3 linked regions of the Caenorhabditis elegans genome follow. The protein of the gene in region 2 purifies or fractionates together with the protein of the main gene of each other region. This does not show direct contact. Each region holds a gene or a part of one and is shown on either strand. Other genes may lie near its edges.

Region 1 (7,715 bases), on a different chromosome or scaffold from region 2:
AATAATTTTGAAAACGATTGAACAAGTCATAATTTTACCTGATTAGAATTAACTGTTACAAAGGTAACTCCCAATTGAGATGACGTAGCAACTCGGTTTCGAATGTTTATCTCATTTTGACTGTACCCATCTGACTTTGATGAAAAAAGCCGAAACTTCCGGCAAGTGTGGAAATGAAAGTCGGTGACTTGAGAAACGTCTTCAGCAACATCTTCGTTCGACATCTCTGAAAACACGAAAAATAGATGTAAAAAAAATTGAGGAGAAAATGTTCAAAAGGATGTCTGGCATAAGAAAAAACGGGCATTCAAAAACCGATCAAGAGCTTTTTGAACAAATTCAGAGGATGTATGTTCTTTAATATAGATAAGGAGTTAAAAAATATAGTATTTTCTTTCAATTAATAAAAAACAAACGTTTATTTTGAAACACTTCGAAAATTCTTTAAATTCGCCAAAATACAACTGGAAACGCGTAAGCTTGCACTCAAAGTGCGCCAGCTGTCAAAAAGTGCGCCAGCACGCGTCCGTTTCGTGAGGTTAGCGAAATTGCGAAACATTTTATCGGATTCCTTGTTTTCTCCATCGATTTCTGTGCGTTATTGCCTTAAATTGACTGAAAATGGCTACACGAGGACCAACACCTGACAAAGCGAGAATGGGACTGCCTGATAGATGGCTGCACTGTCCAAAAACCGGAACGGTCTGTGCAAAATCTGAGATTTCGGTTGTTCATTGTTCTCATTTTCAGCTTATCAATAATTTGTTTTTCCCATTCAAAACACCACTGTGTAAAATGTATGACAATCAAATTGCCGAAAGACGGTATCAATTCCACCCGGCAGAAGTTTTTTCACATCCTCATCTTCACGGAAAAAAGATTGGGTTGTGGATCGACCTCACAAACACTGATCGTTATTATTTCCGCGAAGAAGTATGAAATTCAATTAAAAAAATAAATTTGTAACAAAACGATTATGTTCAGGTTACCGAACACGAATGTATCTATCATAAAATGAAAATGGCTGGACGTGGAGTGTCGCCGACTCAGGAGGACACGGACAACTTCATTAAACTCGTTCAAGAATTTCATAAGAAATATCCAGATCGTGTTGTCGGAGTGCATTGCACTCACGGATTCAATCGAACAGGATTTTTAATCGCTGCATACCTATTTCAAGTAGAGGTATTTACTGTTTAGTTCATCATGACAATCCAACTGTTTAATTTTCGAGAAGCTAAAAATTTATGTACTCATTTATTGGAATCAACGCATGATATTTTGTTGAGAAGTGTCTAATTAAATACGTTTCTTTTTGAATCAGAAAAAGCTCAGAGAATAAAAAGTTGATTATCTTTTTTAAACTGACAGGATATTTTTAAGGAATATGGTCTCGATGCTGCAATCGGAGAGTTTGCTGAAAATCGACAGAAGGGAATTTACAAGCAAGACTACATCGATGATTTATTTGCAAGATATGATCCCACAGAAGATGACAAAATTCTGGCTCCCGAGAAGCCAGACTGGGAACGAGAAATGTCTATTGGCATGAGTACACAAATTGACAACGGACGACCATCGACAAGCCAACAAATTCCCGCAACGAACGGTTTGTCTTCAATTTCAAGCCTTAACGTTTAAATAATTTTATTCAGGAAATAATAATCAAAATGGAAATCAATTGAGCGGAGGAGGAGATAATTCGAAATTGTTCATGGACGGATTAATTCGAGGAGTTAAAGTGTGTGAAGATGAAGGGAAGAAGAGCATGCTTCAAGCCAAGGTATATCATTTTCTCACAATTCTTTAGCTGTATAGTTTTTTCTTTAGATTAAAAATCTCTGCAAATACAACAAACAAGGATTTCCGGGTCTCCAACCCGTATCTTTGAGCCGTGGAAACATAAACTTACTCGAACAGGAATCATATATGGTATCATGGAAAGCTGATGGCATGAGGTTAGTGAATATTCTTTAAAATTTCATTTAAAGATTTTTTAAAATTTTAGGTACATCATTTATATCAACGATGGAGATGTCTATGCGTTTGATCGTGATAACGAGGTTTTTGAGATTGAAAATCTTGATTTCGTGACAAAAAATGGTGCACCATTGATGGAAACCCTTGTGGATACTGAAGTCATCATTGATAAGGTATGAAAACTCATAATTTATGAATGAATTATTTGTTTTCTCAGGTTGAAATCAATGGAGCCATGTGTGATCAGCCTCGAATGTTAATCTATGATATTATGCGATTCAATGTAAGTTGATTTCAATCGGAAAGAAAATGTATTATTCGTTTCCAGAGCGTTAATGTGATGAAAGAGCCATTTTATAAACGATTTGAAATCATCAAAACTGAAATTATCGACATGAGAACTGCTGCATTCAAAACTGGACGCCTGAAGCACGAGAACCAGATTATGTCTGTCAGAAGAAAAGATTTTTATGATCTTGAAGCAACTGCTAAATTATTTGGACCGAAATTTGTGCAGCATGTCGGACACGAAATTGATGGTCTCATTTTCCAGCCGAAGAAAACTGTGAGAATTAAAATTAAATTTTGAACGTGTTTGAGAATGATATTTTACAGAAGTATGAAACTGGAAGATGTGATAAAGTTCTGAAGTGGAAACCACCATCTCACAACTCTGTTGATTTTCTACTGAAAGTTGAAAAGTAAGTTTCTAAAGAGGAAATTGAAGGGTATCAAGAGAATAATCGAATTGCAGGAAATGTAAAGAAGGAATGCTTCCCGAATGGATTGGATATTTATTTGTCCAGAATCTTTCCGATCCATTTGGCACAATGAAAGCAACGGCAACTCTCAAAAAGTATCATAATAAAATTATCGAATGTACACTGCTGGTTGATAATCAAGGACGGGTAAACATTATTTTTTGATGCAAATCTATGTTGAAATTAATATTAGTTTTTAATTTGGTTACTTTTTTTCAGCCAAAAGAGTGGAAATTTATGCGAGAAAGAACAGATAAATCGTTGCCGAATGGATTACGAACTGCGGAAAATGTCGTTGAAACTATGGTGAATCCTGTCACTGAAACCTATTTAATTGAGTGAGTTAATTTATAAAAAAATAAATAAACGGAGTATCATAATTAAAATTTTTTGATCTTCGGCACGTTTTCAAAATTTTCAGTCAAAGTTTTTGGAAAAACTGGATCTTTTTGGGAATTTCTGGTTTTTTTAATGCAGGGCAGTTTCTAAAGGTTAAATCAAGGCTGAATCCGGAAAAAAACTTTTTTACGGAAGTTACGTTAATTTGTTGTTTTTAAAAAAGATACTTCAATCATATATTCACTGTGGAAAAAATTGTATAATTTTACAATTAATTAGTTTTTTTAGTTAGCAAAAGATTAAACAAACATCGAAAATATTTAGAAACAAACATTTTCGAAAATTTCATCAAATTTTGTTAATATTGATGAAACGAAACATAAAGAAGCATACACCTAATTGTATTATATTCGAACTTTTTGCATAAAAAAATTAATTATTTTGAAATAGTTTTACTAAGATATTTAGTAAGTATAACAAATGTTTTAAACAATATTCGCATTGATCGTACTAAATCTATAAGACTTAACATATATTTTGCTTCCTCAGGTATGTAAATCACGCTCTCCGAGTTTTGAAAAGAGCTGCAGCAGCTCATCGCCATCATCAAATACACCAACAACAACTCCATGAGGGAGAACCGGAAGCAAGAAGACAAAAACTCTGATAATCATTCTCCTACATTTGACATCTTTTTTTTTTTTTAATTTTTCACATGTTGCCTTTCTTAAACTCTCCTAGATGCTCTTTCATTTTACCAACAACACTACGGTTTTCAAAAATAACTCAGAAATTATCATTGGCTGTCTTTGTACTTTTAAAAACAAATTCTTTTTTCGTGTTCTAAACAATTGTTTTTTCATTAAAAATTTTTTATTCAATTTTTCATAATTTCATGATTAAGAGAATTCAAAGATTGTATTGTAGGAAATGGAATTAGATATCAAACTTCTGGGTCAATGTGAAGTTGGAGCGAGATTGTATCAAAATCATATTGAGAAGAGTTAGCAATTCGAGGTAGAGCATTGTTGTGTGCTTCTCTGAAACTGAAAATCAAAAATTAAAAGATTTATCAAGAAATCGAATATTCTTACGCTGCGTAACTGGGAAAAAATTTAGTCCACAGTCCAGCTTTGTTTTCAGCATTCCAAAGAGGTTCAAGAAGAGAAAATCGATGATTACGAACTCTAATTGTTATAAACATGTTAACAATTAAGTTTTGAAATTCTTCGTTTGATTGGAAAATTCCGTCATCTTGAAACAAATAAACGAGTGGTTCCGTATTTTCTGGTCGCCATGGAGCCAATCCAAATGCAAATCGAGGATTCCATTCTGGAAGATTTGATGCAGTCTCTATATATGTTGATATTTCTTCTTTGAAAGCTGTGAACTCTTGATGTTCTACCTGAAAACTTACGATTTCTTCTTTGGTACATGATTTCCAATTTGAATCACCGCGCTTTTATCACCGACGCAAAGTGCGCAAGCAACACTCGCTGGCGCCTTTCTCTCCCTTTGCGCATAAGGCGATCGCTTTTTTATTTTTTCGCAATTCTTGATTCTAAACTAATTTTGTTACTTTTCAATGTTCTCACTGTCCAATTTCACCGTATTTTGCGTTAATAAATTATTTTATCAATTTTAGGTAACAATGCGCATTGAAAAATGCTACTTTTGCTCGTCTCCCATCTACCCGGGACACGGAATCCAGTTTGTCAGAAACGATAGCACAGTAAGAACTATTTAAAATAAAATTAGTTTACGAACTGTTCAATCAATCTGTTTAGGTGTTCAAATTCTGCCGATCCAGATGTAACAAATTGTTCAAGAAGAAGAAGAACCCAAGAAAGCTTCGTTTCACCAAGGCTGCGCGTCGTGCTCGCGGAAAGGAGCTTATCAACGACGCCACACAGCTTCTCGAACAGCGCAGAGATGAGCCTGTCAAGTATGAAAGAGCCATGTTCCAAAAGACCATTGAAGCTGCCAAAACGATTTCCGCATTGAAAACAAAAAGGTAAATAAAAATAAATTTATATCAAAAAGCAACTATTATTTTTCAGATATGGTAACCTGATCAGAAAACGTCTGCAACCAGGAAAGATTGTACAGAAGAAGGGACTCCTTGCGAAGGTCGACAAGAAAATGCATCTCATCCGTGCTCCAGTTGCAAACAGAGATGGTGTCAAGACAAGGGCGGCAGCAAAAGAAAAGAAAACCGCAGAATCGATGGAGACCAATTGAGTACCCAATTTTCTTTCTTTTTTTAAACTTTTTGTTATTTGTTACTTGTTGTTCTACTCCCGCTTTTGTGAATACACTTGGATTTACGATTTTTTGGAATTTCTTGTTATATTCACTACTGGACAGGAAAAAGCGTTTCAACGAAATACTAGGTGGTGGTAAGATTATTGGTCAAGGCCGCAGTTGTGTTCAAATTGAAAGATGCAACGTTCAAAGTTATTTTAATAGGAAACGTACCGTTGATTGTAGATCATCGCGAACTTGATCTCGGAGCACAATAATAAAATCAGGGAGCACTTCACGATGGGATCTGAAGTCTTCAATTATCCACCGAGTGACTCGTCGAATCAGCGCAGGATCAACATGCGGAATGGTGGCCTTTTGGAAATGAAAGTACTCGGTAAAATGATCAGGACACGAGGTTCCGTTGAATGTGAACTGGAATTACATCGAATAGCAAAGAGTTGAGCACAAAAATGTAATTACCACAACTGTACTGGGATTATTGTAGACCCCAGGTGTACTTGGATCCACAGTTCCATGATTTATAGCATATCCTATAAAAAGCGTATTTGTCTCTGGCCCCCGCAAGCTTCTCCTGAAATTAAATTAAGAAATAGGTATTTATGAGCTAAAATCTCACATATACTGGTGAGCATTATTTCTTATATCTGGAGCCACATGTCGCCTTCTTCTTAATGCCATCATTATTCGGACTGAAAATTTTGGAATTTCAGAAATCACCCAACAAAGAAAGTTTATAAGACAAGGTACACGGAGAAACAGAAGGAGAGATAAAAATTGAATAGCCTAGAGGTTTCAATGACATAGACATATATACACATACACACTGATCAGAACATTCTTCTTCTTTTTATTCGTTGTAGAGGAAGTTTTGACGTCGACGGATGGATGAGGACGACCGCGTGGGGGCTGTTTATATCACTATTTGTGTATGGAAGAAGCTGATATGATATGGTAGTAATATTTTTGCATCTTGAAGATTGTTCTTCCGATATTTTGGCGGAAAGTCCTATTATCATAGTTCTGATGGTTTTTTGAAACATCCGCCTGAAGGCGCATGGATTTATTCAGATAGGTCTCGTCGCGAGAAAAATGTTTACTGTAGGTTTCCTTTTATTCGACTTCCCTATTGCATTTTTTTGTTCTCAAGCACATTGAAATTCTTAACAAAAATCGAGAAAAATCGTTAAAACAGCTAGAAATTTGTTTTGAAAAAAATCTTAATAGAAAGGAAAATAATATCAAAATCGGTGTGTCTTTAAGAAACCTTGTTTCAGAAAATTACAATGTAATTTTTTAAATCAAAATCTGCTTTCAGTTTCCCATTTCATCTTTTTCTCTCTCTGGACATGATTATTCACAGAATGTTTTTATTTGCAAACTCTCGCCGCGCTTTTTTAGGTTTACTGTAGATGAATTAAGTTTTATTTTTTATTGGTTTATTGTAATTTTTGGTCACGAGTTGAATTCGGAAAACACCCAACATTGTAAGTGAAGTTTCCAGTAATTATCGTTTTTGAAAAACTATAAAACACAGAAAAAGAAGCCGGAAGTTTCTATAGGTATACAGTAAACATAAAGACGCATACACAGATCGTTTTCGTAAAATTCCCGACGAGACCTCATTCGAATAAATCCGCCTTCCTTAAAACTTATAGAAGTTCGTGTATTTAATTCCACGTTTCTTCAATGATACTGTACCGCGAAAAGGGTGAGATTTTTCATGTAGACACTCTAAAGTGATAAGAAAAATCAAAGAAGGGAGTCTAAATGCGTGGACAATCATTAAAGATTCTATCTTTTCGGGGGCTGCTGATCGAGAAAAGAAGTCTACGAGAAAAAACTGTTTGGCAGTCATTTAACAAATTCTCTCATTAATTTAAATATGTATATCAATTCAGTGATAAAACAACGTATTGCGACAAACTATAAATGTAATAGGGGGAAAAGTCACGTGGTGTCGTTTTGATATGATATGATGTGATATGGATAGCGAAATAGAAAATGAAAATGATGAAGGGACAGGGGTGAAAAGTCAGAGGAATTCCGTGGAAGGAAAGGGGAAGAACAATTCTTTATCAGTTTTTGGGAATCATTGTGTCAGGTCGAATTGGGGGACGGTTTCATTGTTTTCTTTTTGATAGTCTGCTCTTTGACCTGAGAGAGAAACCGCATGTCAACCAAATTTTGCAAAAGTCTTAGAAAATGAGTACGGTAGATTGTTTGAATGGTTTTTCATACTCGGTAGGCTCTTCAATATCGTGAGCAATGAACGTTGAGTTGAAAAAATTATGTATGATCCCTAAATGTCACCTATTTTTGGACATGAAGTATCGGCCAAGAAATAATCTTTATAGGTTTTCTAATTGA
Region 2 (10,959 bases):
TAAGTGACTACTGTAGCGCTTGTGTCGGTTGGTTTACGGGCTCGATTTTTATGTTTTTTAATCATTGATTTATGGATAGAATATTATAATTAAGCAAAAAAAAAGGAATATCGCTGTCACTAATCGAAAATAAATTAATTTCAAAAATCGACACAAGCGCAACTGTAGTCATTTGAAGAATTACTGTAATTTTCGCTACGAGATATTTTGCGCGTCTTATATGTTGCGCAATACGCATTCTCTGAATTTTGTATTCCCGTAATAAAACAGCTGTGATAAAAAACATGTAGAAGCCAAGAAGAGCATTCTTATTCAGAAAAAGCAAGGTTTAACATGCTTTGAAACACAAAGAAAATTTCAATTTCCAGATTGTTCAAAAATCCCTATTTTTATTGCTTTCTCTGGTGGTCAAGTGAATGAAAAGATCTTCCCTGAAACTTCTGAAAAATTGACTACAATAATTTCTAGGAATGTTCGAATTTATATAAGGAAAATACATTGGAAATAAAAATATAATGACAAAATTTAGATCCACTTCTCGCTGTCATCCTTTTTGATTTGCTCCTTGAGCTCAGACTCGGCTTTATCGTCAATTTTGCTGAGAGCTCTGAATCCTTCATCACCAACAAAACAGATTTCATGCTCATCTGGATCGGCAAGAATCACAACTTGAACATCGGCTTTTCCTGGAGTTTCGAGAGTTGTGAGCTCGTTTATAATAGTTCCATTGGCTGATTTGATCTTGTCTTGGAGAGATTCGAGCTGGAAAATTAAATATTTAGATTTTTAATAGAAAATATCAACAATTACCTTATCTTCAGGATAACTGAATGCAATTCTTCCGAATCCAGTTTTTCGATCAATTTTATCCTGAGACTTCACAATCTCCAGCTCACACTGTCCATCACCATAGCTCATTCGAATTCTGCTCGACTTTTCCTCAACAATCGGCATTCCGAGAGTTTCATTCCAATATTTCTTGGATTTCTCTAAGTCTCCAACATTCACTTGAACTCTCAACACTTTTGGCGATTGATCAGCCTTTCCGATCTTGAATTCGTGGCCATCTGGATCCTTCACAGCTAGTCTTCCACATCCAGATTTACGATGATTGATTTTTTCGACTTTTTCGAAGAGTTGATCAGAATCGATGACGATTGCCTGAAATAAAATTGTATTAATAATATCAAGACTCAAGCTTTCTTACTCTATAATCATTACCCAACTCATACTTATGAATTGGATAATTATATGTGATCTCTAGAACAAAATGCTCATCCTCTGAGCCATATCCAATCATTGTCTTGCTCCATCGTCCGTTATATGGTCCATTGCAAGTTGCTTCGCATCCTTTTTCGAATTCCTCGTGGCGAAGAACCTGAGAGTTAATTTACAGCTTAAATAAAAATTATGTGAATACTCACTTTCATATTCAGAACATTTGTGAAAAAGTCGATGGTCTTGGCACGATTCGCCACTTTGAAGACGTAGTGAAGAGCGCGAGCTGTCATTTCTGGAGAATAATAATACAATTATTTTTCGATTAACTTCAAGGGATGTTCACTCAAATGAATGGGTCTCGCCGCGCTCACTTAAGATTACTGTAGGAAATTCAAGTACAAATACAATAATGGGTCTCGAAACGACCAAAGCTTCGAAGCTACCGTACCCGTATATTTATATTTTTAAAAATTGTCTAAAAATATTAAAAGTATATGGGTTCTAAATTTTGGAATATTCAATAAAATAAATATGGAGGAGAATATTGTGAGTTACTGAAAAGATAGATTAAATTAACGGAAAATATACCATATGGCGAAAAAACTATAGTTTTTCAAAATATATCGATTTAAATTTTTTAAAAAATTAATATTTCTCTAAATTAATAAGAAATTATCGTATATTATTGAAAACTCTATTTTTTCTCGAAAGATTAAAAATTGAATCTCGGGGAGTTTAAAAATGCATAGCAACGAAACATCGATAAAAATCTTGCAGTAGAAAAGAGAAAAAGCGAGCGGAGGAATAATAAAATGAAGCGATTTCTGCAGTATTTATAGTGAGTGTTTGGAGGCCGACCCGCGCGCTCATTGATGTGTTTTTTTGCTTTTTAAAAATCGCGAATGAACCAGAAAATATAAAAACAACATGGCAAATACCTCAAAAATCAGTGCGAAAGACTGCGAGGAAAACAAGAAAACAACGAGTCAATTTATTTGCGAACAGAAAACTGGGGAAAATTGAAAAAGAACAAAACTACGGAACATTTGGAATTCAGGGAGCTAAATACGACAAAAAAAAGGAAAAAAGTCAAATTGAAAGCGATAACCATAAAGTAGAATTTGAGTTTTCAGAGAGAAATAATCAATTTCCACCAAATGCTAAACGTTTTCACTTAATTCAATATCTATACGGGGGAACTGTGATTAGGCATATCTGGCCTTGCATTGCTTGAAAATATCATTGAATCCGTTGCACAGAGAAACATCAGATTGGTTTTGTGCGCAGTCCACAAATTGTCTCCACTCGAATTCGCATGGCTGCGAGTAGCCAGAAGCTTGTGGAGCACCGGCTGGAGCAGCAGCAGCAGCTGGAGCTTGCTCGGCATGAGAGCTACCGCCTCCGGTGAACATTCCTCCGACGGCGTGACCCTGGAATTTTAGAATTCGATATTTTAATTAAGTGTTTCCCAAATTATGGTCTTGGAAATAGGTTAGCTTCGAAATCCGGGGAATATATATATATTTAAATAAAACTACTCACAACAGCGGATCCAATGGCGACTCCTCCGGCGGTTGCAGCCATTTGCTTCATCAATCCTGGTCCCTGAGATGGAGCACCCATTGGGGCTCCCATTGGAGTTGGAGCTGCTGGTGGATGATAAGCTGGAGCAGCGGCGGCTGAAATATTATTTTAAGAGTTTTTGAAAAAAAATAATGGCTTAAATTTTACCTGGTCTTGGTGGTGGAGCGGCGAAGGATGACTGGGCGGCTGGACGTGGAGCCGATCGAACTGGGGCCGATGGAGATGGGGAAGCAGTGCGCCGACGAACCATTTTCTGAAATTGATAGAATTTCAATGAAGATTTCAAATAATTAAAACTGTGAACGAAAAAAGCCAGAAGATAAAATATTCGAATAAATTGAAACATTCTAAATTAACTTTTTAGTTAAAAATGACAGAAATCAGGAACTCTGTAGCCTCCACTAGTCTCGAAGAGCATTTATATTGTCCGAGTAGTGACGAAATAGTTCAAAAATCACTTGTCTGTTCAATGTGATGAGAGATAAGATTGCGAAATACGACAGGGAAACAAAAAATTGAGCTAAATCAAGCGAAATCATATTAGAATCATTAAATATAAATACAAGCTTTTCAAAGTTTGTATTATGCATTTTACAACAAATAAAAATCGTAATAAAAGCGTTGTAAGACTATTTTTTCTATTTTCAAAATTTACGTATCCGTGATGATAAAATTTAGATTGGAAAATCAACAATCTACTCATTTCTATAATTTTTAATTAAAAATTGAATCAATTCAAATAGTTTATTTGTCAAATGCCTACAAAAATGCCATTCGATTTACTAGCGGAAAGAAAAAGATGGAATGCCGGGTACGAATCAATCGATACAAGCAGCCAAAAGGTAAAATTATGTTGTGTAAAGCTGAAAACGTGGAGTTTAGCTCAAGAGGAGATTCTTAGTATTTTTTCGGTCTGAAATGCATTTGTAAATTGAAATCAACAAATATATCTTTGAAGAAATGTGTTTAAATCATATAAAATACACATAATTGCTGCAACGAAGTAAAATACATTTTTCAGCTGACGGAAGTGGTGACGCCCATCACAGTCACGTGGGAAAACATCGAGTAAGTTGGAAAATTGACGAATAGTAACATCACATAACACGCCCAGAGCAATTTACTAATTTTTAAGTCATAATTTTTGTAAAATATAAACAAATCTTCAACACAAAGATCAAAAAACAAAGAAAATTCGAGAAAGAAATGATAAAAATGATGATGATTTGCGCGTAGGCTGTGATGCATTCCGCAGCGGTACGCAAACACCGCTTGCACACCGTAGTTCTGAGAAATACGCGGGTGTTTGAATTTAATATTTTCATATTTCAGGGTAAAAACTCGGAAAAAGCTATTTTCCAAAAAGCAGAAGCAACTGTTAAATAGAGTCTCGGGAATAGCAAAGCCAGGAGAAATGGTGGCATTAATGGGTGCAAGGTAAAACTTTAGTTATGTTATAGTTATGAAGTTATAGTTATGAAGCAATTTTGTTCAGCGGAGCAGGAAAAACCACTCTAATGAATGTGCTAATGTGCAGGAATATGAAGGGATTGGAGAAGAATGGAACCGTGAAAGTGAATGGAACAAAGATCGGGAAGGAGATTTCATTGATTTCTGGTTTTGCACAACAACAGGAGATTTTCATTCCAACATTGACTGTTGATGAATATTTAATGATCCAGGTCAGCATTTTTTTTCGCACGAAAATACAGTATTTGGTCTTGGCACGAATAACATTTTTTGAATTAATGTCACCTAAAATAACGTGCGCCTTTAAAGAATACCGTAGTTTCAAGTAAAAATACTATACGGAATGAAAAGTACAGTAACCTTTTAGAGGCGCGCATTCTTTTCTGGAGTTTTGATTTGAGAATACTTTGACCGTTTCAAGACCTAAAACTGTAATAATCAGAAGACAGTGTTTGATCTCCAGAACTCCCGATTTCTGAAGATCAAGCGTCAGCGCCTACTCGATACATCAAACTTTACGCGCAAACTCCCAAAAATTTCAGGCAAGACTTCGGATGAAAGCCAATAAACATACACGTAGAGAACGAGTGGATGAGATTATTGAAATGCTGAGACTCCAAAATTGTCGAGATTTGAAAATTGGAACACCTGGACTCGTAAAAGGAATTTCCGGTGGTGAAGCCCGTCGTTTGACATTTGCCTGTGAACTATTATCCAATCCATCACTACTTTTTGCTGATGAGCCAACGTCTGGACTTGATTCATTTATGGCTGCAAGTGTTGTACAAATTTTGAAGAATCTCGCGAATTCCGGTCGAACACTGATCCATCAACCTACTGCCGAGCTCTTTTTTCAATTTGACAAAATTATTTTCTTGTCGATGGGAAAAACCGCTTTTATGGGAACACCTCATGAGTCCGTGAAGGTAATTTTGAAATTTAAGAAATTATTTAAAGGCGCACGCCAAAAGGTCTTGGCACGACCGAAACTGAGGATTCAGAAAAATATTAGTGAATGTGGAATCTGCGAAAAAGTACAGTACTCTTCAAAGGCGCATACCGAAATGTTTCAGTCGTGTGGAGACCCTCATCTGCCTATAATTTTGAATCGAAAATCGAATTGTTCGGATACCCAACTATAATTTGAATTTACAAATTTTCGAATAAACCTTTTTTCCAGTTTTTCGCTGACTGTGGCCATCCAATTCCGAAATTATTCAATCCACCTGAATGGATACAATCCAAATTGTCAGTGATACCAAACAACGAGACAAAGAGTCGAGAAACAATTGGAAAAATTATTGAATTTTATGAAAAATCGATAATTCATCAGAAATCTATAGTGGAAATACGTGTGATTGCGACTACAGAGCTACCTCCATATATAGAGAATCCAGGATTTTTTGCCGAAACTGGAGCATTGTTAAAGAGGTTGGTTATCTGGAAAAATAATAGTTAAAGCACGCTTCTTTATGGTAAACTACGAAATGCACCATGTTTGAACCACAAACTGTTGCTGAACTTTGACATCCCATAGCTCAGTTGTTTTTGATTTTTCGAAATTTTGCCAATTGACAAAATATTTATCATGTATTTTTCTATAGTTTTGTAGTTCAACATTTTCTGATATCTATAAAATGACCCGAGATACTATAAGTTGCCAAAATTTTGTTTGGAAATCCTACCACGATTGCACTTTATAAAAAACCAGCTGTGGTCCGCACCTTCGGCGCGGCCCCCGACTTCTAGAGCTGAAAATTAATTTTTATGAAACTACCGTAACCCTACAGTATTCCTACCGTACCACTATTGTACCACTACAGTACCCCGACTATATCCCTACACTAACCCCAACTCACTATCCCTCCAGAAGTCAAAACTTCACAGACTACAAAGACTACATAGACTACAAACTATGGACACACAGAATAAGCGCTTTATATATAGTAAATGATGATGCACGCTTTTCTTTGCAAACCAATGGTGCAATAAAAATTTGATTTGCTTCTAACATTATTTTTCAGAGCTTGCCTCGATGTGATCCGTTCTCCAGCTCAAATGCGAATGAAACTAATTCAAAAAGTGGTGATGGGCTTATTCATCGGATCTCTTTATTGGCAACAACCACTTGATCCTCGAGGAGTACGGAACACAAATAGTGCTCTTTATTTTCTAATTGCGGAGCTCACTTTCTCCACGATGTTTGGAATTATGACATTTATGGAACATGAACTTCCATTAATTGCGAGAGAATATCATGATGGATTGTTTTATGTAATTAGTTATTATATTTCGAGGTTAGTTTAGAAAAGTGGAAAAGTACGGAAACATGACACGATATGGGAAGTTTTTCTATACGTTTATTTGAAAACTAAATATTTTGAGTGCACTGATAGGTAGTAAAACATCCGAGCATATGAAAAACAATGCTTCCATGGTTAGCACTGCATGCCTATGTGCCTATTTTCTGCCTACCGCCCATTTCTGCAATTTGACGCAAATTCCCGTGTTTGGATCAATTTTTCAGTTAAAAAAAATAGAGCAAGATTCACGTTGGTAGTAGGTAGAGCTTATAGTAGGCATTTTGTGACTGTACGAAACTAAAGACGAAGTATTAAAAAAATCAATATTAGGCTCTGCCCAAATAATGGTTTTTTGCGTTGTCAAGAAGAGCATCTCACAGTTGATAAATCTGATTCAACTTTCAGATTTCTGTCATATCTCCCATTATTTACAATCGACGGAGCTCTAATGATTGTAATATCATATTGGATGATTGGATTGAATAGTACTTGGCAACAAGTGGCTAAAAGTATTCTAATTTCTGTGCTCGTCGAGCAGTCTGCCACTTCGTGTGGCCTCTTCTTGGCTTGTCTATTCGAGACTACTTCGGTAAATTTTTAACATCAGATTTTTCAAAACACATGTTTTTTTTCAGCTGGCAATTGCTTTTGCCGTTCCAGCATCAGGCCTTTTTGCACTGTTGAGTGGATTATATGGAAATACGAATAACTTTCCAGTTTACATTCGGTGGATGCAATGGACTAGTTGGTGTAGGTTAGAAATTTTGCCCGTTTCTAGGCGTATGCGCTTTTGAACGGCTTCGTACTCACGACAAATGAATTTTCAGATATGGATTCGAAGGACTCGTCGTGAATCAGTGGTCTCAAGTGGACAATCCGAAATGGGATCCTTTCGTAAGTTCTATTTTTGTGACACATGCCACTTTAATCCTTTTTCAGTATCGAGAATTGATTCTGAAACAGTTCTCATTCAACAAAGACAACTATCAATTGGATGTTATTGGACTCTGCTCAATTGTGATCTTTTTCTATTTGGCTGGATATATTGCACTTTTCATTCGAATTCGATTATCTCGATGATTTTATTATTATGAACTTGTTTGCTGAACATTTTTGTAGCTCTTAATATATATTTGTTTGAAACCCCCCCCCCCCTGAGGTGTCGGCTGCAGATAAAGTCACTTTTTGCTCTTTTATCCTGAATCCGATACCAAAATCAGTACTGTATTTGAAATTGAAAATTGAACACAAAAAATCAAATTTTAAAATTTTTATCGAAATTTTTTTGTTTAGTGTGGGTGCATAGAAAGAATGTCAAAAAGGGGATGTGATGTGATTTTGGGATACGAAGAGAGAAAATTTCAAAAGAAAAACATACAAAGAAAAGGCATCTAGACGATCAGATTTTAAAAGAAAAATTGCAAAAAAAAACATTATATTAGGGGAAAACTGATGGAGAACATTGAAAAAAGTGTTGCGACATATGAACCCGCGAGAAAGACATGATGAAAACACGAATTTTGTTTTGTTTTTGAAGTTGAAATTGCAAAAAAAAAAAAGATTTGAAATACTTTTTGGCATTTGAAAGAAAACGTTTCCTTTAGTTTTGTGGGAGATGGAAAGAGATCACTAGTGGCTATCCGGGGGTATTAGATATGAGAATATTAGGAGGGGGTATAAAAGTGTGGTTATTGATTTTTGGTGGAAAATGAAAAAAAAAAACAAATCACACAGCTTTGCAAACCGGGAGTTGAGAGAAAATGAACGTTTTGAGATGGAAAATAGTTGAGAGTGGAACATGGTGCATCGAAGCGGCCTTGTGTCGATTTACGCAGCTCGTGTAAAACTAAATTCTAACCTCTCCTCGATGCGTACGCCGGTGTTCGCACAATTCGACTATTTTCCATTCAAAACGTTTTTTGATCCTACGAATAAAACTCTGGACAATTTGTAATCATATAAAAATGTTTTTGTGAAGAGGCACTCGGAAAAAGATCCCTGAGAAAAAGGAAAGAAGGACTGAATTGGGTTGGATGTGAGAGAGAAAGAAAGATGGAGAGAGAGACAGAGAAAGAGAGAAACCGGGTTATAGAATAGTATCAGTTTCTTGTGTGGGTGTTGGTGGCTCGTGTGATGAGAGCCTCGAGACTCTCATCTCATCGACAACTCCACCACCACCTCCATTCGGAAGACGTATCGCTGACGATATGTAGTTGTTCGGACGGTAACGGGCATTGGGCTCTGGAATATTTGAAAATAATTGATAGAGAAAAGAGCTCTCGATCTGGGAATCAGAAGCTTCTGATAAAATTTTCTGTGATCTACACGCAGCCACGTTGTTTATCACTTGAAAGTTCAGAAAGAAAATAATTAAAAATCCAAAAAATAAAGAAAAAAACGAAAAACCCATTCATTCCTGAAATGAATATTCGAAAATATTCATCCAATCGTGCAAGTATCGATTGTTATCGCATTACATCAAACACACACATTCCACTTGTTTCACCAAAAAAAAATATTTAAAAAAGAAGAAAGTTTACTAGAAAGAGGAGTTGTGAGACGAAGAAGGGAAAATCAGAAGATTACGATGATAATTAGATACGTAGAGAGGTTCACTTAACAGTGGTACAACGATTTGTTTATAAAGTGATAGGTGAAGCAGCCAACATCTCATAGGAGTAGATCCCGTGAAATGTCGGCTGCAGAATTGAGAGACTGGTGAGATGAGGGTTAACATGAATTTCAGATACATCGCGTTCGATGCACCATGTTTTACGCGCAAATTTTGGGAAACATCATAAAGAAAATCTATTTGAAAAACAGAAAGTTCAGTACTTCGCGCGCAAACTTGGCGCGCCTACAAAGTCATAAGTCGCCTGATGCCTACCTCGGAATCTAAAATGTCGTAGGTGACTTTTCGCCTACCTGTGTGCCTTTAATGCCTGATGCCTGTTGTGTGTCTAAAAGAAATGAGACATCTCATGCCTACCTATTCACCTAGAAGAACGTTTATCGCGTTTGCCTACCTGAGTGCCTATGAAAGCATAGGTATTTTATAAAAAACAGGTAGGTATGCTTATGCCTACCTAAACTTACCTAAAAGTCTTAGAGAATTCTAATATGCGCTAAATGTTTCCTATTTAGTCAGAGAGATAATATATCAGGATAAAATTGGCGTACAACGCAATGAATAAGTAATATTATATTTTTCAAAAATTATTATAGTAACACTGCAACACACGTTGACGATCACTAGAATTATTGACGACAAAATGAATCAAATGAATCGAAAAAAAAGGATCAGGAAAAATTTAAAAAAAATCAAGGGACGAGCTTTACCTAGATAGAAAGGGAACTATATTAATTGTATCTAGAATCTAGCATAGCATATTGAAATTATCTAATTAAATAAAAAAAAAAGAGAAAGTACAGGGAGGGTAGATTAGTTACTACAGTAACCGGTGAATACATGTGTGTTTTGTGTGTGGTTCAATGGATGCGAATAACAAACCTTTCATCGATTAGAAGGAATGAATGGGCGGGGAGATACTCTCTTCACCGCCTACCTTCATTTGATGATCCATTGTTTCGGATTATCGATTGCTCTTTTACAAGTTTGATCAATGTCTCCATATCACTATTAAACTTGTTCTGCATTCGTTCCATTTGGCTGCAAAAAATGAATGTTAGTAAATTATTCAACAGTTAGTAATTTTTCAAAAAAATGTTGCCTGAAATAACAATTTTAAATTATTCAACAATCAGACAGGCAGAAAACGTGAATTTGAATATTTTTCAACATTCTTTCGCCCAAAATTTAAATGTTCAATTTAATGTGTTTAAAAAAATTTAGAAACCTAGTGTAATCAAAAGTGCCAAAAAATGTACCTTTCAATTGATTCAAGCCTCCTTCCAAACATGTTTGCCCTTCGTTCTTCATAATCATCTGATCGGTCTGAAATTTTGCATTTTTAATTTTAAAATTAACAAATTCTAAATACAATATGTATTCCCTAACTATTCTTATTTTTCAAAATTAAAATACCACACTGCAATTCCACGTGTGTAGTTTCCCAGTTAGACTTGCACCTTTCAACGCCTATCTCAGTTACTTTTGAAATTATCAAAAAATTGTCAACTGAAAAATTACTTGTTTTTTCTTTTGCTCAATTTTTGTAGTTAAACATTTTTTATATTCACAACACTAGCCGAGATATGAGCTGTCAAAGTTGGTACACGACTGAAAAAAGAGTGAGTTTGTGTTAATCAGCTGTTTCAATGAATGCCACACCATGCTTTTAGGGTTTCATATCTTCAGAAAAGTCACACAATTTTTTCAATCTTCTCGTATTTTTTCTCACCGCTCAATTGCTGTGAATGT
Region 3 (12,270 bases), on a different chromosome or scaffold from region 2:
TTGGAACGGCATAGTATGTATGTTACGGCGCCACACGATTTGGTGTACTTGGTGAGTGTGGATTTTTTGGCTGAAATTGCTTGAAAACTGCATTTTTCGGTGAAAAACTACTGAAAATACGAGTAAATTAGCCCCGGAAAACTGCATTTTCAGCGGAAATCAACCGAAAATTGACCGAAAATCTTCAGTTTTAGATCAAAAAGGGCTGAAATTGCATGAAAATCCTAGAAAATTGGTCAGAAAAGTGCATTTTTCGGTGAAAAATAGCCGAAATATCCCTGAAAATCCGATAAAATTTGTCAGAAACCTTAGTTTTCAATGGAAAAAGGCTGAAAATAGTCTGAAAATCCAAGAAAATTGGTCAGAAAAGTGCATTTTTAGGTTAAAAATGACTGAAAATTCCAAAAAATTGGCCGGAAAACTGCAGTTTTAGATGAAAAAGGCCTGAAATTGCCCGAAAATCTTTGAAAAACTGTCCAAATTGGCAGGAAAACTAAATTTTTATGGTAAAAATGGTTGAAAATTGGCTAAAAATTTGAATAAATTGGCCGGAAAACTGCATTTTTCGGTTAGAACAGGCTGAAATTGCCCGAAAATCCAAGAAAATTGGCCAGAAAACTACAGTTTTAGTTGAAAAACGTGGATTTTCAGCCTACAAAAGCTCTAAAATTCGAAAAAATTGGCCAGAAAACTACAGTGTTAGGTGAAAAAAGGCTGAAAATCAAAGAAAATTGGCCGGAAAACTGCATTTTTGGGCGAAAAAGAAGCTTAACAAATGAATTTTATGTGAGAATTTCGATTTTCAGCCCAAAAACTCTACGAAATTGACAATTTTTTCTAGTTTAAGCCATAAAAAGTAGATAATTTACCTTTTTTACGAACAAAAAATCGATAAAACTTGAAATTTTAACCAATTTTTTCTCAATTTCAGTGCGTCGTCGGATTCTTCATCTACTTCAAGCTGGCTTCTCTGTGTCTCTCCGTACATGATGTTCTGATGCCTATTGAGAATGTTCTTTGTGCAGTTTTTATGGGCGGAATTATCGATGCTTTTGCAAAGTAATACAATAAAATGGAGGAAAAATCGAATTTTATAGAAAAAAAAAACGAAAAAAATCGTACAATTTCCGCCTAAAATTGAAGTTTTTCAAGCAAAAAATGCTAGAAAGCCACGAAAAATTGAATTTTCCATATAAAAATTTGAAAAAATTCAAAAATTTTACAATTTCAGCTCGAAAAATTCCATTTTTCATGAAAAATGCATGAAAAACGCAAAAATTTTTAGGAAAAAAAACTTGCAAAAATGTGATTTTTCGTTGCATTTTTCATATGAAAATTTGATGAAAAATCTGAAAATAATACAATTTTAGCTCGAAAAGGCGCTTTTTTTGAATAAAATCATTGAAAAATCTAGCAAAAATGCAAAATTTGGACCTAAAAATCGAAATTTTTAAAACGAAATATCTCAAAAATGCGATTTTTCGTATTAAAAAAATGTACAATTTTAACTTAAAGTTGTAGTTTTTGAGGAAAAATGTCAGGAAATCTCATTTGTTTTGCTCAAAAGCCACGAAAAATCGCATTTTTATATGAAAATTCAATAAAAAATCGAAAATTTGCGTTTTCCGAGCAAAAAAAGCCTGAAAATATTACAATTTTTGCTCGAAAAATACGAAAAAAAAAATCGTAGTTTTTGGTGCAAAAATTCAACTCAAAAACCATAAAAAATTGCATTTTTCATATGAAAATTCGGAAGAAATTTCGAAAATATTACATTTTTAGCTCGAAAAATTGCATTTTTCATGTGAAAAATGCTCTAAAATATTAATTTTTGGCCTAAAAATCTGAATTTTAGCTCAATTTTTCCACTTTTCCCCCCAAAAAATCCATTTTTAACCAAAAATTTTCCATTCCAGAGCCGTCGACGCCACAAAAAAAGCCATACACAGTAATCGTGTACTATCCGAGGAGGAAATTCTGTCAAAAGAGCGGGAAAAAGTGCTGAAAAAGAAGAAGCTGCTCGCCCAAATGTCCAATGGCACGGATAAAAAGAATAATTGATCTTTCTTTAAAAAATAATTTCTGTGAATTTTCATATTAATCCCCTCGTTTAAAAAGAGCCAAAGGCTCATTTTTTCCCTATTAATTTTTAATTTTTTTGCAGTTTTATCACCCCACTTGCCATCCAAAACTCGCCGCTTTATCCATGTTTCTAGTCACTAAAAATTTATAGAAATTAGCAGAAATTTCTGAAAAAATCGCAGAAATTTGCTGTAAAATTTTGGAAAAAATTCGGAAAATTCTGAGAATTGGAGCATTTTTTTCCCGAAATTTTTATGAAAAATTGGGAAATTTCAGCTAATTTTTTTCAAAAACTAGTCAAAAAATTTTACAGCATTTTTCTTTTTTTTACCCCGTCTAGATTCCCATTTACTCTTTAAACAAATATTTTTATTTTCTAACAATTTTTCCAAATTTTCTCCCCATTTCTCTCGGCCGGGTACTAACATTTTACTTGAAGTATTACGTTTTTTTTGTTTAAATAATTTTATTTTTTATTTTTTAGAGCGATTTTTTATTGTAATTTTTTTTGACATTCAGTTTTTGAAACTGTTTTATATTTTAATTTTAATTTGCGAAATTTTCAGATTTTTTTCCGAAAATTTCGCTGAAAAATTTAAAAAAAATTATTCAAAAAATTGGAATTTTCCCGAATTTTTAGAAAAAAAATTTGAAATGTTTTCATTTTTTTTTAATTTTTTAAAAATTCAAAAAAAAATCAGATTTTTAGAAGTGATTTTTTAAAAAATCTCAAAAAAATTTATTTTTCTGATATTCCTCCAATTTATTCCAAAAAATTTAATCCAAAATTATCAAAAAAAATATTTTAAAATTCGAAATTTTTGATTTTACCAAAAAAAAAAATGTTGCACTTTTTTTTTGAAAAAATTGCAATTTTTTGGAATTTTCAAGAAAATTCCAATGAAAAATTCCTTTTTTAAAAATTTTTTAAGTAAAAAATCACAAAAAATTCAAATTTACTCCGATTTTCTCGAGAAAATAAAAAAAATTCGAATTTTTCTTCAAAAAAATCCGAAAATTGGAATTATCCCGAATTTTTGGCTGAAAAGGTTGACAATTTTTTGAAAAAATTGCAGAAAAATTGGAATTTTCAAGACAATTCCATTAAAAAATTCCCTTTTCTATAGAAAATCACAAAAAAATTCAAATTTACTCAAATCCCTTCTTATTAAATTTAAAAAATTTCCGAAAATTGGAATTTATTGAGAACATTGCAACAAAACTTTGCAATATTTTTTCGAATTTTTCAAAAAGAAAATCCGAATTTTTAGCTGAAAATTTAAACATTTTTGAAAAAAAAAACCCCCCCAATTTTTATAATTTTTCACTAGAAAATCTGAAAAAAACCCAAAAAAATTTCCAGAATGCACCTGTCGCTTGATCTCAACGATTTCCTAAAAGTCGACCTCACCCGGCTCGCCGAGGACGACGAAACACACCAAAAGAGCACAAAAAAGCACACAGAACTGCTCATCGAGCTCATCGATCGGAAATCGACAAAAGCTTCAGCTCTCGCGAGAAAAGTGATCCGTTGGCCAATTGGACAGACTCTTCCAACTCAAATTGCTTATAATAATGGAGATGAGCAACTTTTGATTGTTGGACCAACTTCTGAAGCTCTTCTTCCAATGCCGTACGGTTTTAGTGGCTAGAATTTGGAATTCGGACAAAAATTTGGGATTTTAGCAAGAAAATTTCAATTTTTTCATAGAAAACTGTAGAAAAATCAATTTTTAAAATTAAAAAAAAAAAGTAAAAGTCCGAAAAAAAATTCTCTCGGAAAATTCTACAATTTCTAATTATCCGGGAAAAACCCTTCTAGAAGTCGAAAAATTTAAAAAAAATAGAGAAATTTTCAACAAAAAAAAGGTTTTCAGCAAATTTTGAATCTGAAAAAAAAATGAGGTGTCATGAAAAGTTTGAAAATTCCAAAAAAAAATCCGAAAAAACGGACAAAAAACCATTTTTTTTACAAAAAATAGAGTGAAAAATGCGAATTTTTCGATAAAAAATTCTAAAATTAAAAGTTAATTTTCCAGAAAAAATCACAAAAAATGTATTTAAAATTACTAAAAACCTTCTAAAACCTCCAATTTTGTTTTGCATTAAAAAAAAGAGATTTGATTTTCCTGAAAAAATTATAAAAATTTCAATTTTTATTGCAATTTCCAAAAAACATTTTTAAAGCCAATTTTGAGTCAAAAAAAAAAATTTAAAAAATCAAAAAAATGGAGTGAAAAATGCTAATTTTTCGATAAAAAACCCAAAAAATTTCCAATTTTTTCGGAAAAAAAGCTTTTATCGAAAAACCCGAAATTAAATTTTTAAAAAATTCGATTTTCAGTGAATTTTTAATCCGAAAAATGTTCCAAAAAATACTAAAATCTCATTTTATTACAGCAAATCAAAAAAAAAATTGTTTTTACACAAAATAGGTATAATTTTTCTAGGAAAATCGAGAAAACTGTAAATTTTTTAGCCAATTTTGAGGCAAAAAAAAGAAGTAAATGAAGTAAAAATGCAAATTTTTCGATTTTTATTAAAAAAGTTACTTTTTTAGAAAAAAAAAAACAAAAAAGCTCGATTTTCGACCATTTTTGAATCTAAAAATCACAAAAAATTGTATGAATTTCTTTCAAAAACTGTCTAAACTCGATTTTAAGCCAATTTTTTGAATAAAAAAAAATAAAAATTTAAATTTTCTTCAGAAAATGTAGTGAAAAATGCTAATTTTTCGACATAAAAATCACATAAGACCTCAAAATTTCTTTCAGAAAATCAAAAATCGACGCTCTAACAGCGACAGCCATCGCGAAATCGGGTCCCACCACGAAAACGAAAACGTTCAGCTCATTTGCCGTCAATCCAATCGATACATTTGACACGAAATCTCTATTAAAATCAATTCAAAATTGTATTGAAAATCCGGAAAAAGAGAAAAGATGGAAGCAGCTGAGCTCGAAACTTGACGAAGAATGCTCCAATGGAGAAGCTGCTGGAGCTCTTTCGGCTGTTGAGCAGTCTCAATTGCTCACCGCAATCCGCCGCTACACGGATGACGTGGATTCGGAGCCCGAGACGCTTCATGTGGTGCTCAAAGCGATTGCCACGTCGAGAGTGCTCTCTTTTCGAAATGAGGACGGTTTTTTGAGAATGTGCATTGAGAAGCTGAAGAGCAATACGGAAATTGTGGAGCATGTGCTCGCCGATGGAGCACGTGTTGTGTCGGAATTTATTTTGGCTGAATTGTTGAAGCTTGCTGCTGGGTATGGAGATGACTATGAGCAAAAAATTTAAAAAAAAAAGAAGCAATTTTTCCTATGAAAATACGTACAATTTTCACCTAAATTCGTAGTTTTTCGAGCAAAAATTGCGAAAATCTCACTTTTTTTTGCTCAAAAGCCACGAAAAATAGCATTTTCCTTAGAAAAATTTGAAAATATTCGAAAATGTACGTTTTCCGAGCAAAAAAGTCTGAAAATATTATAGTTTCAGCTCGAACAATCGCATTTTTCGAATGAAAAAGCGCAAAAATCGTCGTTTTTTCGTGCAAAAAATGCGAAAATATCACCTTTTTTTTTTGCTCAAAAGCCACGAAAAATAGCATTTTGCATAGAAAAATTTGAAAAAAATACCAATTTCAGCTCGGTAGCTTCGAAAATTTTCGTTTTCCGAGCAAAAAAGTCTGAAAATATTACAATTTCAGCTCGTAAAGTCGCATTTTTTTTAAATAAAATTTATGAAAATTCTTAGTTTTTCGAGAGAAAAATCCACGAAAATTGCATTTTTCGTATGAAAATTTACAGAAAAAATTTAAAAATTGGTGTTTTTTCGATCTGAAAACACCAACAAAAAAAAACTGAAAACTTTCTGGAAAAAAGAAAAATATCGCATCAAAAATTGCCTTTTTTTTTGAGAAAATCCAGAAAAATAAGTTTTTTTTTCGATTTTCTCTGAAAAAGAGAAAAATTTTTTGGCTGTTTTTCCATATAAAATCCAAAAAAACAAAAATTTTACTATTTTTTATAAAAATATAAAATCGGATATTTTCCAGATTTTTTAATTGTGTTTTTTCAAAGAAAGTTTTAAAAAAGGGCATTTTTGAAAGGTTATTCCTGCTTTTTTTCAATTTTCTCTGAAATCAACAACAAAAAACGGAAAAATGTTTAATTTTCTCAGAAAACAAATTCAAATAAATGGTGTTTTTTCGATCTGAAAAACAGCAAAAAAAAAGTGAAAATTTTCTGGAAAAACAGAAAATAACCTACCGAAAATTTTGCGTTTTTTCCATATAAAATCTTTAAAAAAAAGGAAATTTTTTAAAATTATTTTTCGTGTTTTTTTTTCAATTTTCTCTGAAAACCACAAAAAAAAAAACGAAAAAATGTTTAATTTTTTTCTGAAAACAAATTCAAATAAATGGTGTTTTTTCGATCTAAAAAACGCTTTAAAAACTGAATATTTTCTGGAAAAAAGAAAAAATCGTACCAAACATTTTTTCTTTTTCATATTAAATCCGAAAAAAAAAACATATTTTTCTTGAATTGAACTAAATTGGATTTCGGAAAACGAGAAATTTATGAATTTTTAATTTTTAATTTTCTGTTTTTTTTTTCGATTTTCTCTGAAAAACGCCGAAAAAATGAACATTTTCCGGAAAAAAAGAATAAATCTAACAAAAGGCTTAACGTTTTTAAGAAAAAATTAAAAAAAAAAAAAATTTTCCGGAAAATTTTACGATTTTTTGAAAAAAAATATTGATATTTTCAGATTTTTTGTTAAAAAAAAATCAAAAATTCCGAAATTCTCGAAAATTGGCTGTAATTTAATCTAAATTTGACAGAAAATTATCGAAAAATTATCGTTAAAAATACGAAAAAAAAATTCAAAATTAGTCGAATTTTGTCAATTTTTCTCGAAAAAATTAAAAATAAAAAAAACTAAAAAACTAAGCTTTTTTTTCCAGAAAACCGTCCGAATCCGAGCGCCGAGCCCAAGTGAGCCAAGTTCTTGCCCGTAACTTCTCTAAAATTCCAATGACCGAAGCTTGCGGAGCCGTGCTCTCCGTCACCGAATCCATCGAAATTATGACAATTCTCACTGAAATCTACCGTGAATCACCGGATATTTCCATCAGTTCAAAAGCTCTCACACTGATTACTGTACTTATGGATGCACATGGTTCACGTATTGTATATGAGGATAAACTTCATCACAAATTCGCTGCGATCAGCAATTTTATTATTGAAATGGTACGGAAAGTGCTGGAAAAAGTGATTTTCCGCTGAAAAATTGGCCAATTTTAGGCTTAAAACGATGAAAAATGTGAAATTTTGAAGGAAAAGCCATAAAAATGTGGAAAAAATAAATTGAAAACGACTTTTTTTTTCTGAATTTTCCGTTTAAAAAACTGACTACAAATTCAAATTTCTCAGAAAAATTTGGCGGGACTTCAAATTTTAGTTTTATTGAAAAAAAAATTAGAAAATTTATTTTCAAAAAAAAAATCAAAAAATCTCCGATTATTAAAGAAAAAAAAAGAAAATTGTAGAAAAATCAATTTTTTCAGCAGAAAATTTATCTAAAATTCGAAAAAAAAGTGGAAAAATTGCAATTTTCTTTGAAATCCGAGAATAAAATTGTTCGATAAAAATTCGAATTTTGATGATTTTTTTTTTGGAAATTTTCCCGAAATTTCTACAAAAAAAATTGAGCAATTTCTTTCAAAATTTTCTACTAAATTGTTCAGAATTCAGTGATTTTCGGGGTTTTGGCGCGAAATTTGAATTTTATTAAAAAAAATTTTTTTTTAATTCTCCGAAAAAAATTCTTATTTTCGCCAATTTTCAAGAAAAAAATTTTTTTTCTTAAATTCAAAAAAATTGAATTTTTCAGGAAATATAATCTTTTTTTAACACGAAAAAATTGCGAATTTCAGAAAAACATTTTTTTCAAATTTCCCAAAAAAAACACTGAATTAATATTTTTCAACAATATAATTTTTTTCACAATATTTCTGAAAAATTACTAATTTTTTTGTAAATTTTTGAATTCCCGCCGGCAGAATTTACTGATTTTTTCAAAAAAATTTCAGTTAAAATCGATAAATTAGCTGATTTCAGATTAATTTTTTTGCCGAAAATTGTCTGAAAATTTTACGAAAAAAAAAAATTTATATTGCAAAATTGAAAAAAAAAATCATAAAAAATTTAGCGTTTTTCAAATTTTTTAAAAACTAATTTTCATATCATTTTCTATAATTTAAATCTATTTTTTCTATTTTTCCAGCAATCCCTAGTCGGAACCTTCGCTCGACTTGAAGCTGCAATCGACGAGTGCTCGGATACCCAGGCAGCGAATAATGTTGTGATTCGTATGCATCCAGTGGCTCATCCCATTAATTGGTAGAAGAAAATTCGATTTTTCTGTTTTTTTTTCAAAAAAATTGGCTAATTTTGTGATTTTTAGCAATTTTCTGAAAAAATCGTTTTTTTTTTCTCATTTTTAAATTGTTTTCCTTGTTGATTTGTTGTTATTCATTTTGTTCTGGAAATTTTGAATTTTACCTCATTTTTTAAATAAAAAAATCTGCGAAATTCTGAACTTCTTTTGTTGAATATCCGGATTGCTTCCAATTTTTTATTTTTATTTTTCTCCATTTTTTTTTTGATTTTTTTTTTGTAATTTTCGGTTTTTTCCAGGAACTTGGAAAACGCCATGCGAGGGATTCAAGGATTCACGAAAAGGTAATAATTTTTTTACGAAAAAAATGCTTTTTTGAGTGCTCAAAATTGGTTAGATGAAATTTATTAAATAAAAATATGGGAAATTTTTATTTAAAAAATTTAAAAAAATTTAATTTCCAAAAATTTCAGCGATTTTTGAAAAACAAATTGTTTTTAGCTCTAAAGCTCGATTTTTACCCTGAAAATTATTATTTTTTTGATTGAAAATTTCCGTAATTTCAAAAAAAAAATTTAGAGTTCAAAAATGGTTGAATTTCAATTTTATCATCAAATTTTTATAACAAAACTTGCTTTTTTGAGTAAAAAAAAACTAGATTTTCACTGAAAAATTCCCAAAAATCCAGTTAAAAAGTTGCCAAAATCCGCCCACACCTGTTCAGCAACATTTTTTCTTTAGTTTTCTTCAATTTTTTCCTCCTCGTTCTCATTTCCCGGGGGTTCGGCACCGCCGGAAAAATTAGTGTTATTCTCTTTCTCATCTCCTCTTCCTACTCACTCACTTAGAGCTTAACAACATCTGTCGTAGGCGCTTCCCGCCTCCGGCGGGAGGCTTGCAACCGATAGCCCCGCCGGGCGGCTCCGAGAGCTCCGAGATCAGTGTAAAGGCAGATCTCTCTCTCTCTCTCTCTCTCTCTCTCTCTCTCTCTCTCTCTCTCTCTCTCTCTCTCTCTCTCTCTCTCTCTCTTTCTCTCTTTCTCTCTATTCGACTCGGCTCATTGGCAGAGCATTGATATCATTGGCTCTTTACGAAACACACACACAATAAATACAGATATCGGTTTTTTTGTTTACTTTTTCGTTTTTTTTTTTTTTTAATTTTTAATTTTGCGGAAAATCAACATACGGTTAGAATAACGTTTCAGCTAGTCGAAACATTTTAAACAAAAACAAAGCTTACACCCGTTTTTTATACATATCTATAAATATTTATTATGTACACGTGGAGTCAGAATGTCTTATTTCGATTTGATCTTCAAAAAAAAATGCGGGAGTTGAGACGCAGACATCTCATCTGTTTTTGCATGGTTAAGAGCGTGTTGACGTCACAATTTTTCTGGAAAAATATTCCCGCATTTTTGTAGATCAAACTGTAATACGACGACAGCCTGACACAATGTGTATGTATGATTTTGAATGCCGAAATCATACACGTAAAATAGTCCTCTACTTATACAGTCGTTATTACGGTATACCCATATATTTCCACATTACACTGTAATGTTGAGCAATAGTAACTATCTAAAAATTTGTCATAGCTTAAATATTCTGAAAGTACTGTATAATTTGTATCCCTACTAAGTTCGAATATTTAAGCTATGGCAAATTTTAATATAGGTACTATTGCTCAACATTACAGTGTAATGTGGAAATAAATAGGTATGGTATACATTTAAAAAATAAATATAACCCCTGAAAACACGTGAAAATGAAACCGTCTGAACATTTTGGTGTAAAGTTATTCACAAAATAAATTTATTAATTAAGAAGAAAACCCCGATTTTACCGAAAATTGCCAAAAATCAGAGGGGGTGCTATAGAAGTTGGACGGCCATTTTTCAGATATTTTGACCTAATTTCCGTGATTTTTGAGATACCATAATAAAAATTGGGGAGCATAGGTTTTTCAACATTTGCTATCGAACTGCACTAACACTTTTTCAAAAAACATTTTGAGAAGCTCCAAACCGCCAAATTGGAGGGGGGTGCTATAGAAGTTGGACGCACTGTATATATATATATATATATGTATATGCGTACAGGTTATTTATGATTTGTGTTAATCTAGCATAATAAGCAATTTAATGAATACTTATTAAGCGTTATTAACAAGGCAACTAATAAGAAATTCAACCATCTAGCTAGCCTAACGAACTAAAATCCACAATGAATACTTTGCTAGTTAGTAATTATTTTGAATAAAATATTTTGTCATTAGATGTTTTTCGAGCTGCCTACTTAGGGTTTTATACAGAAATTTAGAAAATACTTAAGCTATGGCAAATTTTAGTATAGGTACTATTGCTCAACATTACACGAGCTTCTGAAGTTGGGTTCGAGACAATTTTCCTGTCGCTCCATTAATTTCCGAATTATTAAATAAAATATGAACTTATTTTAGCACAGTAATGGCAAAAAATATTCTTAGGTCTAAGTCAAGCATATTCTCTGGAATACATTACTCAGACAACCCTCTTTATTTCTTCCATACGAAGTAGAGAGAGAGACAGAAAAAAAAATGAAATTTCGTCACTCTTGCACATCTCTTATGTATATTCAAAAGAGAGTGTGTGTGCGCGGCAAGATATCCGACGATAATCTTCTTCTGCAATGGCTACTTTTTCTCCGTTTTTCCAATAGAGCAGAGATTCTCCCAGCTTGGCTCGTTTCTTAGTTTTTGAGCTTTCAACTTATAAAGGGAATAGCAAACGTCCTGGAATTTTAAATTCAATAGGATATGATATAATTGATTGTTTTCTCATTCATTTGAAGCAGAGTTTCGATTTCTCCGGGAATTCCAATTCTCGAACAATTTCAGAAGCAAACTGACTTGATCATTCAAAAGTTTAGAATTATTTTTTCAAAAAAAATCAGCATTTACCCCAACAAACGCCGCCATTGACGTAAATGCACCTTCCTGATATCTCTTATTAATTCTTATCAGCTAGAAATCTTATCATCACCAGAAAATAAACGTTTCTATGTACATGTGATTTCTGTAACACTCTAATTATAGCACTATTTTTTGAAGCCTGGGGGCAAACAAAATGGTTTTTTTTTAATTTTGAATTTTTGGAAAAAAAATGTAAAAATTTTTTTTTAATTTGCCAAAAAACGTTAGAAGGGTTTTTGCCACTTTTCCGCCAAATTTTATCGGTTTCCCTTCTGTAATTTAAATTATTTATTCAAATTACAAATGGAAAACCAAAAAATCACAATGAATTTGATTTTTTTGTTGCAAAATTAATAAAAAAAAGAATTTTTAGAAAAATTGACACGTGGTGCCAGGCTGTCCTATTACGGTTTGATCTACAAAAAATGCAGGAATTTTGTCCCAAAAAAATGTGACGTCAGCACGTTCTTAACCATGCGAAATCAGTTGAAAACTCTGCGTCTCTTCTCCCGCATTTTTTGTAGATCAACGGAGATCAAGCCGAAATGAGACACTCTGACACCACGTGTATTGAGACTTTTCTGTCATTTATTTCAAAAAAAAATTTGTAAAAAATCGAATTTTCTGAAAAAAATTAATAGAATCTTTTACATTTTCATAAAATGATTTTTAATTTTGCCAAAAAAAAAAATAAATTTTGAATTTTCCAGATCAACGTTTTTTCCGATTTTTTACGAAAAAAAAAAACAATTTTTCCTTCCAATTGACAAATTTCGGATATCCACCCAAATTCTACATCACATTTTCAGGCCGACGACCTGCTCAAACGAT

The links.
Region 1: the proteins of wht-3 (region 2) and rsl-24D1 fractionate together in Caenorhabditis elegans (co-fractionation; one large-scale study listed by BioGRID). This does not show direct contact.
Region 3: the proteins of wht-3 (region 2) and Y57A10A.27 fractionate together in Caenorhabditis elegans (co-fractionation; one large-scale study listed by BioGRID). This does not show direct contact.

What each region holds. Positions count from the first base shown.
Region 1 is NC_003279.8:9,664,690-9,672,404, forward strand, and holds rsl-24D1 (putative ribosome biogenesis protein RLP24), read left to right. Parts: upstream 1-4,725; 5' UTR 4,726-4,731; coding exon 4,732-4,812; intron 4,813-4,867; coding exon 4,868-5,094; intron 5,095-5,140; coding exon 5,141-5,321; 3' UTR 5,322-5,409; downstream 5,410-7,715. Other genes in the region: npp-14 (Nuclear pore complex protein 14), read right to left, coding at 39-224; cel-1 (mRNA guanylyltransferase), read left to right, coding at 622-702, 751-933, 985-1,185, 1,384-1,609, 1,656-1,783, 1,831-1,958, 2,009-2,153, 2,198-2,263 and 5 more; C03D6.1 (Piwi domain-containing protein), read right to left, coding at 4,024-4,126, 4,175-4,485, 5,559-5,759, 5,808-5,919, 5,965-6,026.
Region 2 is NC_003281.10:4,144,153-4,155,111, reverse strand, and holds wht-3 (ABC transporter ATP-binding protein/permease wht-3), read left to right. Parts: upstream 1-3,513; 5' UTR 3,514-3,560; coding exon 3,561-3,647; intron 3,648-3,826; coding exon 3,827-3,873; intron 3,874-4,137; coding exon 4,138-4,242; intron 4,243-4,300; coding exon 4,301-4,487; intron 4,488-4,817; coding exon 4,818-5,201; intron 5,202-5,455; coding exon 5,456-5,706; intron 5,707-6,299; coding exon 6,300-6,572; intron 6,573-6,983; coding exon 6,984-7,167; intron 7,168-7,213; coding exon 7,214-7,332; intron 7,333-7,405; coding exon 7,406-7,472; intron 7,473-7,517; coding exon 7,518-7,658; 3' UTR 7,659-7,687; downstream 7,688-10,959. Other genes in the region: glod-4 (Glyoxalase 1), read right to left, coding at 526-762, 811-1,161, 1,208-1,378, 1,425-1,511; har-1 (Hemiasterlin resistant protein 1), read right to left, coding at 2,427-2,651, 2,764-2,900, 2,953-3,055; Potassium voltage-gated channel unc-103, read right to left, coding at 8,665-8,819, 10,145-10,248, 10,467-10,533, 10,940-10,959. UniProt on the Caenorhabditis elegans protein: Required for efficient RNA interference (RNAi) of pop-1 indicating a role in the germline development.
Region 3 is NC_003280.10:12,266,220-12,278,489, reverse strand, and holds Y57A10A.27 (Armadillo repeat-containing protein 4), read left to right. Parts: upstream 1-3,445; 5' UTR 3,446-3,446; coding exon 3,447-3,715; intron 3,716-4,856; coding exon 4,857-5,348; intron 5,349-7,048; coding exon 7,049-7,334; intron 7,335-8,370; coding exon 8,371-8,490; 3' UTR 8,491-8,678; downstream 8,679-12,270. Other genes in the region: tric-1B.2 (Trimeric intracellular cation channel type 1B.2), read left to right, coding at 1-51, 932-1,059, 1,917-2,061; tric-1B.1 (Trimeric intracellular cation channel type 1B.1), read left to right, coding at 12,269-12,270.